2 linked regions of the Alligator mississippiensis genome follow. The protein of the gene in region 1 purifies or fractionates together with the protein of each later gene. This does not show direct contact. Links are inferred from orthologs where the notes say so. Each region holds a gene or a part of one and is shown on either strand. Other genes may lie near its edges.

Region 1 (8,403 bases):
CTTCCAAGAGAAGTGGGGCTCGCTCCTACCCTGGGGGTCTTCAAAAGGAGGCTAGATAATCACCCTGCCGGGGTCATTTGACCCCAGCATCCTTTCCTGCCCATGGCAGGGGGTCAGACTTGATGATCTTCTCAGGTCCCTTCCGACCCTACCAACTATGAAATGAACAAATAACAATAAGTCAAAATTGGACATGCGCTTAACCTGGGTCAGCAGCTCGGTTTAAATTGTTTTTGCCTACTCTTCCTCTGAGGTCTCTGTCAAACCATGACTGCTTACTCACCCGTGAAAAAGAGCAAAGTTGCTGTGGTCTAGCTTCCTCTTATCGAGGGATAAGAACCAGTAACATCAGCAGTCTCCTGAGAACAACTGACAAGTAAATCCCTGCCCACTTTTAATTCACCATAACCTGATCATTTCTCCATATTCAGTGTGCACCAGCTCTTCAAAACTCTTGCTTCTACTGGCTTCTCTAAATATCATGATCTTTTATTTACCCTATACAAGCTCCCTTCTAAGGTAAATTATCCTAGAAGTCCAAATGTTGTTTTTTTTTTGTTTGTTTTTTACAATAAACTTTCCTTCTACAGTCTCTCCTGCCCAATGAACACCACTCCCTTTGCAACTGAAGGTTAATTTTCAACATATATTTCCTTCTATATCCAGACAGCCTGTTGATTCTACAGCAGGCAAAAAAAGTATTTTATGTTCTTACTGCTCAAGACAGTTCTCATCTTGGCACACAAGGTCATCAAAAATAGTTCCGTTTAAGTCAGCTTTCTTTCCCATGAACAGACAGAAGTATTACAGCAATGAGTACCTCATAAATATGTAAGAATTAAGGGCCGGATCAGAAAAGGTATTTAGGTATCTAAACAACCATGAATCCATGAGACTTCAAACTGCAAAAAATCAGGTTGTTTGACGCAGAGAGAGAACACCGATAATAATCGAGTTTCCTTTCTTAAGTATTCACCAATTGCATTCGTGTTGCCTACCCATCCACCAACCATGTTAAATTGTGACTGTGTTATTTAAAAACGTAGCGATCCCTGTAGCATGTATTCCCAAGCATGCTATAAAATGCGGGAGGCAACTCCCGCTTAACGCTGTAACACTCGTTTTACTTTGATACCCAACTCCACTCTTCAAGTTTTGTTATATTGCTCATGGGCATCACACAGCTGGCAGCAGGGAGAGTACACTAGCACCACAGCTCATCAGCAGCACAGTCTCGTTGTGCAAGTTAGCGCCAGTTGGCTTGTGTCACCATCTTGGTTCATCAAAAAACAAACCTGGTCTCGCTTAATGCTATATTCCTTTTAATGCTTGGTTTTTCAGGAACCAATTAAGAGCGCTAAATGGGGGTTTGTCTGTATTTTACTTGAACAAGTATTTGGGAATTTGTACTGGAAACAGGACTGTCCTTAAATGGTTCTTACCCACCCCTTGGAAAAGTACTTTAAGGAAGAGGTTGGTAAATCACAATCAAGCGTTTCACAAAAAAATAATCAAATCCTTTTTGGTATGAAACACTTGTTTGGGATATACCAAACTCTTCCTTAAAAATTCTATACCAAGCAGCACTTTTCCTACTTACAACATGACAATTTAGAGACTCATCACATACCATAATTTGAATAGAAGTACAGTACTGGAATATTTTATAATGGTAAAGTTTGACCATGCTACACTCATAAGCATTTGTCTGTGAAAGCACCTTTGTGTAACTTCATAGAGATTATCAAGGGCACTCTACAAAAAGAGATGGGTTCAATCAGCACACTACAGTAGTCACAGGCACAATGCCAAACCTGTCACTTCAGTGTTAGTGACAACCATAAGGGGGCACATCAGTGACATCTCCCAAATCTGTAATCAGCAGCTCTCCCAAGCACACGCCACAAAAGGTCTTTTTCTCCATGCTAAAATCGTATGAACATACTGAATATACAACACCCCTCTCTTTCGCTGTCACTGCTTTTCAGCTACAAGTCCTGAAGTAACTTGATTCAACACAAGACCTCCATTTGGGACACAAGGTCAACATGACGAGAGGAGCGTGCTCCACCTGCACAATAAATTGTTGCCCCTTAGGAACAGAAACGCAGCATCTCTTGCTGCTCTAAGTTAATCACTGGGAACAGAAACGCAGCATCTCTTGCTCCAAGTCAAATCATCGAGCCACACGCTTCCTCGGAAGAGATCGCTCTTTTCACTCGTGCAGGCACACAACGCGACACGACGGTGTCACCAGGCACCCCGAACAGACTGTGCGAAGAAAAGCTGAAATGAATTTGCTCCGACCTATACCTGTCGCTTTCCTTTTTTTTGTGCAAAAGTCTAGTTTACAGATTTCACAGTCATTAGGGCTGGAAGAGACTGTGGCAGATCAAGTCCGGCCCCCCGCTCCAGGGGCTGCAAGTCAGCCAGGGTCACAGGATCCCAGCAAGACCAATTGACTCGTAAAGGAGTCCCAAGTAGGTGCTCACATCGGTCTAAAACAAGGCAAATCACCTCTACCGGGAGTCCCGATTCCCTTTCGCCTCTAGACCAATACGGCCGCGATGCGACCCGACGCGTTCCTTTCGGGCATTAAACGCTTTAGAGACAGGGAAATTCGGAGGAAACAAAACGACGGCTTTAAAAACATTGTGAAAATTTACCGAAGCCGTTCACCCCCGTCTGTCCTGGCACTTGCCCGCGAGGCGGGCGAGTCGGCGTGGACGTCTCTGGCGAGGCAGGGAGCGGGTCGGGAGGAAGCCACGCGGTTTCGGCAACGGGGGCGAGCGCCGGAGCGGCCCGACCACCCCGGGGGTGGTGTCAGGGGCTGGAAGGGGCCTCGCCGCACTGGGGCGGGGAAGCCGGCTGCGACGCGGCGAGGCCGCCGACTCGCGCGGGGAGGGAGACGAGGCGAGCGGGAGGGAGGGAGGGAGGCGCCGCGACCCCGGTGCGGGGGGCGCCTGGGTGCGGTGCAGGCAGGGGGCGGCCCCGCGCTCCCCTCCGCGGCTCCCGGCGCCATTTTAGGAGTCGCGAGGAGGAGGAGGCCGAGGCTGAGGCCTAGGCCGCCGTCTGCCCCGCCCCGCTCCGGCCCGCGCGCCCCGCGCTCACCTTCTCACACAGGCTCTTCACCTGCCCCTCGGACAGCTGCTTGCACTCGTTGAGCTGCTCCACCCACTGGTCCAGCTCCTTGGTGAAGACCTTCTCCTCCATGACTCCCGCCTCCGCACCGGCTCGGCTGCACGCAGCGCTGGCGGCCGGAGCCCGCGGGACGCGCACACACGGCGGCTGGCGGCAGCGGCAGGCGGCTCGTCCGCTGCCCTCCGTGTAATGGCCGCCGCCCTGACGTCACCCTCGGAGGGGGCCCTCCGGAAAGGGGAGGGGACACGGCGCATGCGCCCCGGAGGGCCGCCCCGCGCCTGCGCACTTGGAGGCTTCGGGAGGGGGGAGCGGCTGGGAGGAGTCGTGCGTGTGTTGTGCTGTCGGTGCGGTGGCGCATGCGCCGTGGGGTTGCTTGGTGGGGGTGGGCAGCAGCGCGAGCCCTTGGAGGCCCTGCCCAGGTAGGCCGCCCCGCCCCGACCCCGCCGGGAGGAGCGAGGAGAGGTGTCGGATCCAGCTGTGTGGGGCAAGGGGGCTTGGTCTGGCGCCACATGGGAAGGGGCATGAACCTGCCCATCCAACTCCACGCTGCAGGGAGCCGGGCGGGGAGGGGAGGAGGCCCGGCCCAGCCACACCCAGGGAAGGGGGAGGGGAGGGAAGGGAAGGGGTCCAGACCTGCACGTGGCTGGGGGAGGGATCATAGCTTGACGCCTAACCCAGCAGTGCAGGGGGCATAGCCATGGCCTGGCTTCCACTTGCTCGGGATTTTGGCAGAGGGACGGGTGGCACTATTGACCCCCCCCCCGCTGCCAAATTTCCTGACCCCTTCTGCAGCCCCCCAGCTTGCGGGCAGGAGGTGGAGCGCTCCTCGTTGCTCCGGCGGTCCGTCCAGGGAGCCACCCCCGCGCTGCACTGAGAGCGTGAGCCAAAGCAGCGCAACTCCTCTCTAGGTGGCTGGCGATCGCTGTGCTGCCCCAGTGGCTCAGATTGCAGATCTTGGTCATCACGATTGCCCCGTAATTATTTCTTTTGAACTGAGCCAGGGATAAAGAGTAGATCTGAGCTCCAAATTATTGTTTGATGACCAGCCAGAAGAACAGCCCTCTGACTGACGACGCAATTGGTTCATGAAAAGCTGCGTCTTCAGTTGAAATATGGGGACTCGGAACCAGTTTTCTCATAGGGACAGTGTTACCCCGGACTGGGGCAGAGTGGGGCTATGGGAGGGCTGCGGCCACCCAAAAATTCACCGTAGCCCCCACTGCCTGCGTGGTGCAGCCCCGGCCCCACCTGTCCCACCCCACGCAGATCCAGGGACACACGCCCCCCCAGCATGGTCTCCTGGACTAGCAGCGGAAACCACTAGTCGAGCCGCCAGACAAGCGGTGCACAGTGGTGGGAGCCGCCATCCCCTCCTCCTGGTGCCCATCAGCCCTGGCTGGACAGTGTTTGCCCCAGCCCCGACCCCTCCCTCACTGTGGGGGACATTGATCTCCCCTCTCCCTCCCCTTCCACCACTTACCAGCTACACGCCGTATCGACCGTTGTAAAGATGAAACCAGCATTGAAATGGGGTGTCAATTTATAAACATCATAAACGACATTCATCGCAACTTGAAAAGTCCTAAGTTGGGGGCTGCCTGTAGTTCATGTTGGGTATCGGAATATCGGAACCCCTGAAACTTCTCTCCGGCATTTTGATTTTCTTGGAGGACCTAGCAGCCTATCAAATTAAAACTAGTGTTTCATCGGAAAAATATGTGGTATGAATTGATTAAGTAGATCAGACACTAGATAATTAAGAGTGTAATTCTGCACTTGGATTTCTTCCATAGGAGGCACAAAGACTGCATTCAGTATCTGGTATTCTGCTTCTAGAAGTGATTATCTGATGTTTGAGAGGAAGGTTAAATAATAAAAATAAATGCTTACTTTACAATGTTGCACACAGTGGTGGGGGTTGTTTGCACCCACCCAAAGGAGTGGTTAGGTTGTATCCTGAAATAGGAGATGACAATATTAATTCATAGCAATTAGCATGTGAATGGGAATCAGGCTTCCATATATCTTATGTGTAATTAAGGAGATCAATCTGCTCCAGTTGCCAGAATGAGTCAACAGAGTAGTCCTTCACCTTTGTACCCAGTCCTAATGCTTGAGTCAGTGACAAGTGTTTCATGTTGCTGGCATGCTTTAAAAAAAAGGTAAATCAAAGTTGATTACACTTCTATTAACATGAATAACTATTGAGTTGTTATTGGTCATGATTATTCAGCCCCTATTAAAAACCTTCTACAGTGCTAGCTAGCTCTCCAGTGTCCAGAAATGAATTCCATAAGATCATTGACCTTAGGTGTATTAGTGCTTGTAGTAAGATGTGTCATACTAGCCAAACTGCAAGCTCTTTCCTACTTCCTTTTTTATTTTATTTTTTCAAAATAAGGGAGATAGATATCTACAGCTATGAAGAATGGCAGAAACGTTTATATGCAGTTTATTGCAGACCGTTCCATTATAAGATTTCTTGCACTGCCTAAAATATCAGGTATTGGCTTTTTAATGGAGATTGGTTACTGAATTAGTTGGATCCCACTGTTCTGACCAAGTTAGGCAATCCCTGTGCTCGATAACAGGACCATTCCATATAGGAAGTTATTCATGAGATGTGTTTGTCCCCCTCATACTGATAAAGACATTTAAGATTTCCCTTCACTTGATCCTCCTGTACAAATATTCAGTCCTGGTTATTCAGCAGGATTCTTATACTTGTCCCTGATGAATCCTGGTTATTCACTAGTATAAGAATCTCAGTGTCCATTCAAGACTTAAGTGAGGCCAAGGGATGAACCCCATAATTAATGCCATTAAATCTTACCAGGAGCACACTGCTACTACATATGCAGCCTCGTGTGTCTTTGACTGCCTGATGACATTGTATCCCTAAGGCAGCCTCAAGTGGCTTTCTTGAGAGCTGTCATAGTGCAGATGATATTAGTCCCTGTGACACGTCATAGTTATACAAAGGGTAACATAGGTGATGAATTGTAAGAAGTATGAAGCTTTCAGTTTTCAAGGATGAGAGGCTACCCAGTGAGAAATCTTGTTTTGCCTGAACAAGAGAAAGCTAGCACTGGCAGCTATCATATTGCCAGCCTGAGAGAGAAAGCAAATGTGTGTATATTCTGGACCCCTCAAAGGCATTTCACTCTGCTGCACATTAAGTATTAACAACATATAGGATATCTTGCAATAGCCAGTGGGGATGCCTTGTGCTGAATCTATTCAGTCCTACTAAACTGAATCCAGAGAGATGTGAAGGGCATTTGTCACCAGTATCGTCCACTATCTCTTTTACTCGGAACGAGGTGATACTTCTTGGAGAGGTTGTGAGATTACGCAGATTCATATTCCACTAATATGATTACACCAACTGTATGTCTCCACTGAGGTACCTTACACTATTACTAAGATGTCTCGGTGTCTTTAAGAGATGAGCAGATGAGGGGGGTGACTCCACTTTAAGAAAGGATTAGTTTTCGTAAGTCTGATTCACTGTTGTCCTGCATAAAAATAAAACCAGTACATAGCAAGTGCAAAGTGCAAAATTCTGCATTCTGATTTGATGTTTTTTCATATTCACTTCAGACTGATGCCAATGACTTCACAAGGTGAAGGCAGTAGAGAGTTAGGCCCAATTAAATTATGTTTGTGTTAGGCTTAGACAACTAGTTTTAAAGCATTGGCTTTGCTCAGAGTCAAGGCTCCAGCAAGATGAATTGTTAGAAACAGTCCTATTTGGCAAATGATATTCATTATGCTAGACTTTTCCCTGTAATATTTACTTTAGTATTTTTATGTCACACAGATCAAGGGAGGTGTGTTGTTTTCTTTGAGATACTAGAACTAAATCTATGGTATGAAAATTAAACAAATGTAGCATTTGTTAGAAGTATAATCATGTGCTTCACTTAGGAGGAAAAGTATTTCCTTTATGTGACTTAGAGACTTTTCCCAACTCTAATAGAGTTGATGAATGTTTTCATTAGTGATATTGCAGAAGTGTTTAAGAGTATCACAGTAACTTGTACAGAAGTTGCTGTTGTGGTTATCAATAGCCACCAAGGCACAACAGACTTTGTAAACTCTCTGTTTCACCCCATAATTAGACCCTCAGTAGTAGGCAACTGTCAGTCCTTCGGGATCATGGTGTATGTGAGAGAGGTCACCTGGACTTTCAACTTGTATGCCTTGGCAAGAGCATGGAGGAGTGGAGGCTGCCCAGACCTTCTACCCCCACCCTCCCCTTTAGACCATTGAGACAGAATCCAGAGGCCAGACCAAGTCCAGATGTTCAGTGCCTCAAGGGCTGTAGTTAAGTGCATGTCCTTGCTTGTTAGTCTAATAAAAGATATCAAATTCACCCAAGGAACCTTGTCTGCCTATGTCCTTGCATCAGTATCTCTGAAAAACATGCAAGACTGAGGAGAGCATAGCAAATGCTGAGTGTTAGATGCTTGTTGCCTAAGTATTGGGGGTCATGATCTGGTTACATTATGATCAAATTGGAGAGAACTTGGAGCAATTTCCCTTTCATCTGTAGCACGAGGCATGATTTCCCTGCTGAGATAATCTGGGTGTAGTTCCACTAATCCATTCCCTTCCTTTGCAGGGCCTGAGGAATTGGTGTTACCTAGGCTTCTCCTATAGTTCGCCTACAATACATACTTTTGATTTAAACACAGTAGCCTACTTGAATTAAAGTCTTTGGGCTTAATATAGGGGTATCTGTATGAAACTTAATAGTCTGTAAAATGTGGACTGTTGTATATTGATCTCTTCTGGCCTTAAACCCTAAACTAATGATAAACGTAATATAACAATACGAATACCAAATTCTTGGCTGATGCAAGTCAATTGAAGTCCACAGCATTGCATTAGAGATGAATCTAGGTTGGGTCCACAGCTGTGGGATAGAAACAAGGAATCTGCTGCCATCAGAATCTTGCAGTCAACAATAAGCAGAAATAAGGGCCTGCAAAGGAAAGACAAAGGCTATCAGGCTGCAGAAAAGACTGCATGCAGCAAACAGAGTATTAAAATGGGTGTTTTGCCTTGCTCCGAAATGTCCTATAAAGATGTAGCAAGCCCAGGCCCCAGGGGCAGCCGTTCCACCCCCTGGTGGTCAAGGGGCTCCTACTCTAGTCTGGATCCAAGGGGCTCCTACTCCCCTCTGGTCTCAATCCTGTCCCTTGATCATTAGGTGGGCTTTCTTGGCCCATCTGTGCCCTTACGGCACCTGTTGCC
Region 2 (7,926 bases), on another chromosome or scaffold:
CAAATCACTTTTAATTTTCTCTAACAAACTGTGACCAACCACTTCCAGTCTGGAGTAATAGGGCATGGCATATTTTGACTATAAATATGTTATTAAAGGATTGTGTAAAGTATGGTGCACAGTCTTGAAAAGTTATGTTTTATGATGATCCAAAACACTACAACTCTGTATTTTTTTTTAAAAAGTAGACATAATAAGTGACAACTGGCAGGCCACTTTTAATGCTGACAGGCTGAAAAGGGCAAAATATGTCTAAGGAGCAGACAGTAGAAATAGAAAGCACATGTCCATAATTTCAATTGCAAGGTTCCACTTGAAAGAAACATTCTGATACCTTCTCCAAGGCCTCTACCTCCTTACTGATTTTATTTTCCTAATTACCTCTACTTTTTTAAGCTTCAGCAGCTAATTCAAACAACTGACTATACTCTAGATTTTTTTGCTTCATGCTTACCATTATGTTGCCTCATTCTATTTTCAGTATTCTAAATAGTGTGTTTTACTGTCCAAACCACTTCTAAGACCTAATTCAACAGATATTTTTCTAAAGATGTTGATTTACCCAACCCACAGGTTGCTATGGAAATGTTGCACCTTTTCTCCATTCCTCTGAGATCTTGTAAAAAGATCTCCATTAATGGACTGCAGACTTGAACAAAAACAGCAAAAACAGAATTAATGTACGATTAGTATCTAATCTCATCAGCCCCCAAAGTCAACTTCAGAGAATATTTTATGGAAATTAGACTTTTTGTACTTATTATCTTTAGAAATTGTTCAGTGATAATTTTTAAAGTCCTGATGAATATCTCTCTTCACTGCAAAGTCAAAAAAGATTTCCAATTGACAAGATCCCCAACCCCTGACAACAGGGCCGGAAGATACTACTGCTACCTTACAAAAACCACAACATGTATATTTCAGCTAATACTTGATGATAAGTGAATATTTCTGCAACTAGCACTATTTTTGTCAGTCTTCAATAAAAATTCAAACTCTTAGTTTTCACTCATTTTTGACTACAGAAAAATACTAACACAATTCTTCTGTTGCAAATTACACAGGTCAGAATGTTTTGAACACTATGGATTCCCATTTGAAATCTCTAGGTTAAACTTTTCAATCAGGTTTGCACACCTACTAACATAGTGTGGTGACCTGGGGTACCCTTGCAAAGAAACTAAAATACCCCAGGGTGCCACAGCATCCAGGTTAAGACTCACCGTGCTAAACATCAGAATACCTAGTAGGGGAACAAAAGAGGTTCCTCATGATTGGTTCCAGAGCTTCACCCAGACCCACCAGATCTAACAGCCTATATGTCGTTACTACCAATAAGATGTGAAGTTATTACCAATAAAATGATGATTATATTTGGAAAAAAGCTAGGTCTGACAGTAGATGCTTACAACAGACTTTACATTCTAAGAGAATGATGCTGTATACCAATGTCTAGATATCCGAGTAAAGACATGTAGGATCCAACCTAATTTCAACTGTTACAACTTTTATCACAAGTATAAAAAAAACCTGCATGTTAGCTCAGAACTTAAAATACTATCACCTAACTAAACATACCAAGCTATTTACCTAAAAGCACTTAAATATGAATATCATGGAACACTTACGGAAAATAAATTTGTCAATATATTTATAGCCCCATCAGATAATCCAAGGGGCTAATACATTTCTTTTTTTCTCCCTTAAGGTTCATAAATCACTCGCCCTACCTCTCACAGGCCAAAGCAAAGGGCTTCGTACATTTTTTAAATTATTATTTTAAGGTTAACAATGCCCTTATTTATTATTTAAAAGGGTATTCAACTTTTACACAATTTAGTACTTCGACTACCATGTCTACCACAATACTGTAAAAATTCTTCTTTTAAAATACTACTTAAATGAAGGAACAAGCTTTTCAAGTCTTATTTTAAATGAGCTCCCAAGCAATCTATTCAAGTTAACTGGACAGGAAACACACAAACATGTACTAGTATTAGTATAAGAAAGTTTGCAGTTTACCACCACTTGCTGCTCACATTTGCTGCTGATAAAAGCAGGGTATGAAAAACTGTAACTTGCTGATCCTCAAACTATCTTCCACTCCAGTGCACGTCATACCCTGCCTGAAGGGTTCCGTGAAATCCCTAGACTTATTCTTTGCACAAAATTCCCAGAGGCTTCCTTCCCATTAAAACGATTTTATACCATCTACCTTAACAAGGTCACACTTGTCAGTTGTCTAACATGAAAAGCTGTACCGGTAAAATCCCAGGTATTAACATGAAATTAAGCACTTATTCTTTAATAGCCACGGTGAAGAAATCATCAATTTTGGTCCCCTGTTTGATTTAATCACGTCTAATCGTATTCACGCAGCATCTGGGGGTGGTGCAGAACCATCAGCAGGAAGAGTAAGATGCCTAAACCAGCCATTCTCAACCCGAGGCCCATGTAATGCCTGCCCTGCAGTGTGTGTACACACAACTCATAACAAACCTACAACCTTAAAAGCCTCTGCCGTGCTGAGGTCTTCCCAAGTTCCTTGCAAAAGGAGAACTGCTTTGATATTTTCTTGTAAGCAAAGAAACACCAAGCACTGGCATTTTCACGGGAACTGCCTCCAGTCTAAAACAAGGTCGAGAGCTGCTGACCTGAGCAACGGTGGGGCCCCCAATGCTATTTTTGGCTCCTGCTATTAAGGGAGAAAAAGAACCAATTTTACAGGAGGCAGACCAGGCCCAGGGCAGGTTTCAGAGCTGCTGGAGGAGATCCAGACGGTGGAGGCAGCAGACCCCAGGCAGGGGCAGCGCGGGACTGGGACTCAGAACTGCCCCGGGCCGCGGCAGGGAGGGGGAAGGATCCTGCTGGAGCCCAAACACCCCGAGGCCTCCGGCCCCGCCCGGCCGCCCCGCCCCGAGGGTCTTAGGGCCCCTTCGCCGCCCCCAGTGCGCGGTAAGGCGCCACCCTCCCCGCGGCCTGGCCGGGCACTCACGATGGTGACGCTGGCCTTGCGCAGGTCGCGGTTCTCCTCCTGCAGCGCCTTGCACTTGAGCTTGTAGGTCTCCAGCTCGATCTTGAGTACCTTGTTTTCCTGCTGCAGCGAGGCCAGGCGGTTCGTCAGCTCCTCCAGCCGGAACGGCGAGATCACGATGCCGCCCGCCTTACCGCCGCCGCCCACGCCCGGCCCAGCCGCGCTGCTGCCGCCGCCCCCGCCACCCGCCAGAGCCCCCGGCGCCCCGCCGCTGCCGCCCGCGCCGTCCGTGTCGCTCTCGCTCGCGCTGTCCGCCATAGCCGCCGCCGCCCGACCGCCAAGAGGGCAAGAGGAAAGGGGCGGGGTGGCAGCGCGGACTGCCCGACCGGGCCCCAGGGCGCAGGCTCCGCCCCGCCCCGCGCCTCATGGGAGCTGTCCGCGCCGCTCGCACCCGCCTGCTGCAGCGCCCCCGCGCGCCGCCAGCCTGCCCCGCAGCGAAGAGTGCCGCGGCCAATGGCCAGAACAATAACAATTGTAATAGTGATTATTACTATTGTTATAATTATAATAATTATTGTTATTATTAACAGCCATGAATCCGGAGTTGAGAGAGAGCTTGTATTATAATGATAATTCTTACTAATAATAAGTATCGCTATTAGAAGCAGTATTACTATTCCTGCTCTTAATAGCAACAATATTGGTTATCAATAATCATTGTTATTCTAATACAGAAATTACTGATGAGAATGATGACTGCAATTGCTATTAACAGCAATAATAATGCTAACTGTTGTCATTACAACTATTGTTCATAATTATGTGTGGCAGGGCACATAGGACAGAGGCAGCCTACCCCTGGGCCCTGCAGGCCAGGCAGAGCTCCACAGCTGTGGGTTGCCTGAGCAGCAGGCTAATGGGCAGCTGCAGGTGGCCAGCTGATCGAAAAGAGGCAGGGCACTGGGCATGCAAGGATCCTGGTTTTCTCGGATTTAAAAAAATTCCCAGTTTTGGGTTAAAAAAATCCCCAAATCCACATTTTTCTGTGATTTAAATGAAACGCTGCTAATACATAGATCAGTGGTTCCCAGCTGTTTTTTGCTGTGACCCGCTGTTGGGAGCAGAGTGCGGCAGCAGCCCTAAGGCAGGGGAGCTCACGGCATGTGGCACAGCTCGTCCTATGTGTGCAGCTCCACTGGCATTGCCCCCGTGCCCTCATTTGGATCATGACCCAAGGTTGGGAATTGCTGATACAGATATACTAGCCAATTGCCTGTCAAGAATGACGGGGAGGGGGGCAAGGACAGAGGCCTGCGTCCCTTCCCCACCCCTGCCTCAGGCTGGGGATGGGGTCGGGGCCATTCCCCCTCTCTGCCCCCACTGCTTCCGGCCGTAACCCCTCCTACCTTTCCTGCTCCCCTCCCTCCCCTGTTCCCCAGTGCCTCCTCTCCCTGCCAGCTGTTGTTGGAGGGGGCGGCGCCAGCCCCTGCCTCCAAGGAGCGGGGGAGGAGGGGGAGGCCAGGGAAGCTGGCCCTGCCATCCCCACAGTCATGGCGGCTCTACACTGTCTGTCCCTGTCTGTGTAGGGCACTCTGATCAGCTGCTGAGACAGCCAATCAGAGCGCAAATAAATCACTATGGACAGACAGACAGACAGACTGACTTAGGCTTTTATAATATTAGAATATAGAGTGGTGTTTCATTTAAATCACAGAAAAATGTGGATTTGGACTTTTTTTTAATTGAAAATTGGGGATTTTTTTTAAATCAGAAAAAACTGGGATATGGGGCTGTAAGGGGAGGTACGGAGGCCTCATTAGTGCCCAGAAGAGTGCAACCAGACAAGGGCTGGAGGGCCGGGCAGCAGGGGGGCTGCAGCCACATAGGGCCCAGTGACTGGAAGAAACCAATTAGAGCTAGTACCTCAGACCCAGGTCTGACACAGTGGGCCTAGGCTAGAAGGCCTAGTGAAATTAAAGGGGTAGAGGCTGAGTAGGCCAAGGCCCTAATAAAGGAAAATACATTTGTGTAACACCCACGAGGCATGGGGCATGGTGTAAGGCAGCATTTCTCAACCCATGGTTTGCAACCCAAAAGTGGGTCACAAAAATATATGATAGGGTCATGAAGAAACTTTAAAAATGGATTCTTCATTAAAGGAGAAAAATGTGGAAAACCGTGGGTTTACCCTTGTCAGCTGGCAGAGTTCTAGCCAGCAAGGGGTTGCTCAGGGCTCCCTCATGCCCCACTTCCCCCCCCACGCACACACTGGGGGTGGGGGGCTGGGGCCCAGCGGCCAGTGGGTTGGGAGTGAGGGCACTGGGTTGGTACTCACCATTGAAATTTACAAATGGGTCCTCATACAAAAAATGTTGATGTAGGAGAGGTTTGGAGCCCAAGGACCAGTGAGTTCTTGTGAGTTTCAGTGGGCTGAGGCCACATGAAGGCCTGTGGACAGCCTCCCGATTTATAATTTTACCATCAAGATTTGGTAGGCAAAATGAGGGGATGCCCTTGGGGCGGAGCTGGCACAGTTGCAGAGCCACCAGGAGTATCATGGCCACCCCTGGGGACCCCAACCCATAACATAATGATATTATTAATATGATGATGATGACACTATAACTCTCCTCCCGAGCCTGGGTTTGTGGCTGTTGTGCCTTACAAACACTTAAAGTCTTAATGTGTATTAAAATAAACTGATGCGCATTAAGTGTCACTTAAATCTTGCTTTTTGGTTAATGCACTATAAGACAGGCTAATGCACATTTTCCTACTACCTCACAATGGGAGGTACTTTTACATGTGCTGGGACTTGGTGCCGGGTGCTTTTAATTAGCAAGCTGTTCTAATTAAAAGCACCTATGCATCACGTGTATCAGCATCACTGCATGTCCCCACACTGAAAAAAATGGCAGCAGGGTACTTTGAACTAAAGCTCATCGAACATGTTTTATTTCAAAGCACTCCACCACCACTTCTTCAGTGCAAAGATGCATAGCGATGCTGATGCACATAATGTACAAGGCTGCTGGAATGGAGTGTGTCAATTTTCATGTTCTAGCAGACTCTATTTAATTGAGTCTGACATGCTGGATTTCCAGCGTGTTGGACCAGGCTCCGCTTGTGTGTGTAGGAACCTGGAGGTACTAGATTTAATGCGTATTAACTAAAGTGCGTTGATACATGTGTAGATGCATCCTTAGAGACTGAAAGTTATCATTCCTGTTGCTGATAATTACCATCTCTGCCTACCTGTGGAGCTGTATTAAAAAACAGCAGCACCCCAAGGTTATAAGGCAAAGCAATGAATCAGTCACTTGGTCAGGATTTAATGCTGTATTAGAATTGTGTTACAATTCCTGGTATTGTCACTCAAAGCTGCTTTTGAAAACATAACACTTGTATTACTCCATCATCACCTATCATTTTCTTATGGAATTGCAAGTTGTCCCATTTGCTGCTATTTCCACTGTAGCTTCTCACAGATTTACATATTTCTTCTTAATAATGTAAATCAGCTGTGCCCAAACTTGGTATACAGTGTACCAACATGATATTTGTAACATACTCACACAATTACCAGAATAATCGTATCTTCCCCCTTATTTCTCAATGGAAAGGTTTTCTCAGGAGGACTTTCTTATTGCAACCCTCCTTATGTTTTGGATCTCAGAATAGAAAGTTATTTCTCCTCCCAGGGGGTTCCACTCTTACCTTGATTCATTGATTCTCATGTTGCTGGTTCCTCTCTGGACTCTGATCCTGCCTTGAGATCCCCACATAAACACATGGCCATTTACTTTACTAGGGCTCTCAATGGGTAGTGGGTTCTGCCAAACTAATTCTAAGTATAGGACACATCTACACGTGCACCCTGTCAGGTGCAAATTTGTGCCCCACAGCAGCAGTCAGATCCAGGGCTACTCCTGCCCTGCTCTGCCCCCCACAGCAACCAGGAGGAGCTGCAGGCTCTAGCCTCAGGCTCAGGCTGGAAAGGGGTGCTGTCCTGGAAGGTTGTGGCCAACACACCACGGATACTCCCTGCTCACCCCACACCCGCCCCCCCAGCAGCAGTGGCCAGGGCACTATGTCTGCAAGGGGCTTGAACCACATCCTGCTCCTCCCCCCACCCATGAAACCTAGGCAGTTGGCCATGAACCCTAGGCCCACAGGGTAACCCCAAGACCACACACACTACAGGCAGTTAGCAATAAACACCAAACTTTATTTCTCTCCACCACATAGTAACAGATCCCCCTCCCTCCCAGCAACACACCCCTCCTAACCCCAATGTACACTAACAATAGAGGTCCTGCTTCCCATACAACTTCAATGTTCATTGTCAACTGCTGGGAGGTAACAGTGGAGTGGAAGCACCTATGACACAGATCCTGGGGAGAGGTGCCCAGTGCCTCTGGTGGCACTACCATAGGTGCAGCTGCTGAAGGGAGGTCAGCAGGTTGGGGGCTTGACCAGAGGCAAGGGCAGATGCTGTCCAGCCTGCTCCCCCTCATCCACCATGGGGCTAGGGCCAGCAGAGCCCATGTGCAGAGCTGGCACATCTACAGGCAGCTCCCCCTCAGGGGTCACATGGCAGCCAGGCAAGCAGTAGGCAGCAGCCTAGGTGGGAGGCCAGGAGCAAGGGGCCATGGCTGCTGCAGGCACCCTGGTGAATAGAGCGTCTCTAATCCCTTGCTGTGTCCCCCTAATGAATTTGTAGGCAGCCACAAGATCACCTCCCAGCCTTCTCTTGCAGAGGCTGAAGAAGTCCAGGGCCTTCAGTCTCTCCTCATAGGGCTTGTCCTGTAAGAACCTAACTGTATGAGTGGCCCTCCTCTGGACCCTCTCGAGTCTATCAACATCCTTCTTGAAGTACAGCACCCAAACCTAGACGCAGTACTCCAACTGCGGTCTGACCAATGCTGCATAGAGGGGAAGTATCACCTCCT

The links. The genes of interacting proteins can lie anywhere in the genome.
Region 2: the proteins of PPP2CA (region 1) and CCDC6 purify together in Homo sapiens (affinity purification with mass spectrometry; 4 studies listed by BioGRID and IntAct, with this or other methods). This does not show direct contact. The link is inferred for Alligator mississippiensis from reciprocal best matches to the Homo sapiens genes PPP2CA and CCDC6.

The regions. Positions count from the first base shown.
Region 1 is NC_081832.1:70,069,613-70,078,015, forward strand, and holds the start of PPP2CA (serine/threonine-protein phosphatase 2A catalytic subunit alpha isoform), read right to left. Parts: upstream 3,310-8,403; 5' UTR 3,214-3,309; coding exon 3,112-3,213; intron 1-3,111. UniProt on the Homo sapiens protein: Catalytic subunit of protein phosphatase 2A (PP2A), a serine/threonine phosphatase involved in the regulation of a wide variety of enzymes, signal transduction pathways, and cellular events.
Region 2 is NC_081829.1:47,378,537-47,386,462, forward strand, and holds the start of CCDC6 (coiled-coil domain-containing protein 6), read right to left. Parts: upstream 3,357-7,926; 5' UTR 3,293-3,356; coding exon 2,996-3,292; intron 1-2,995.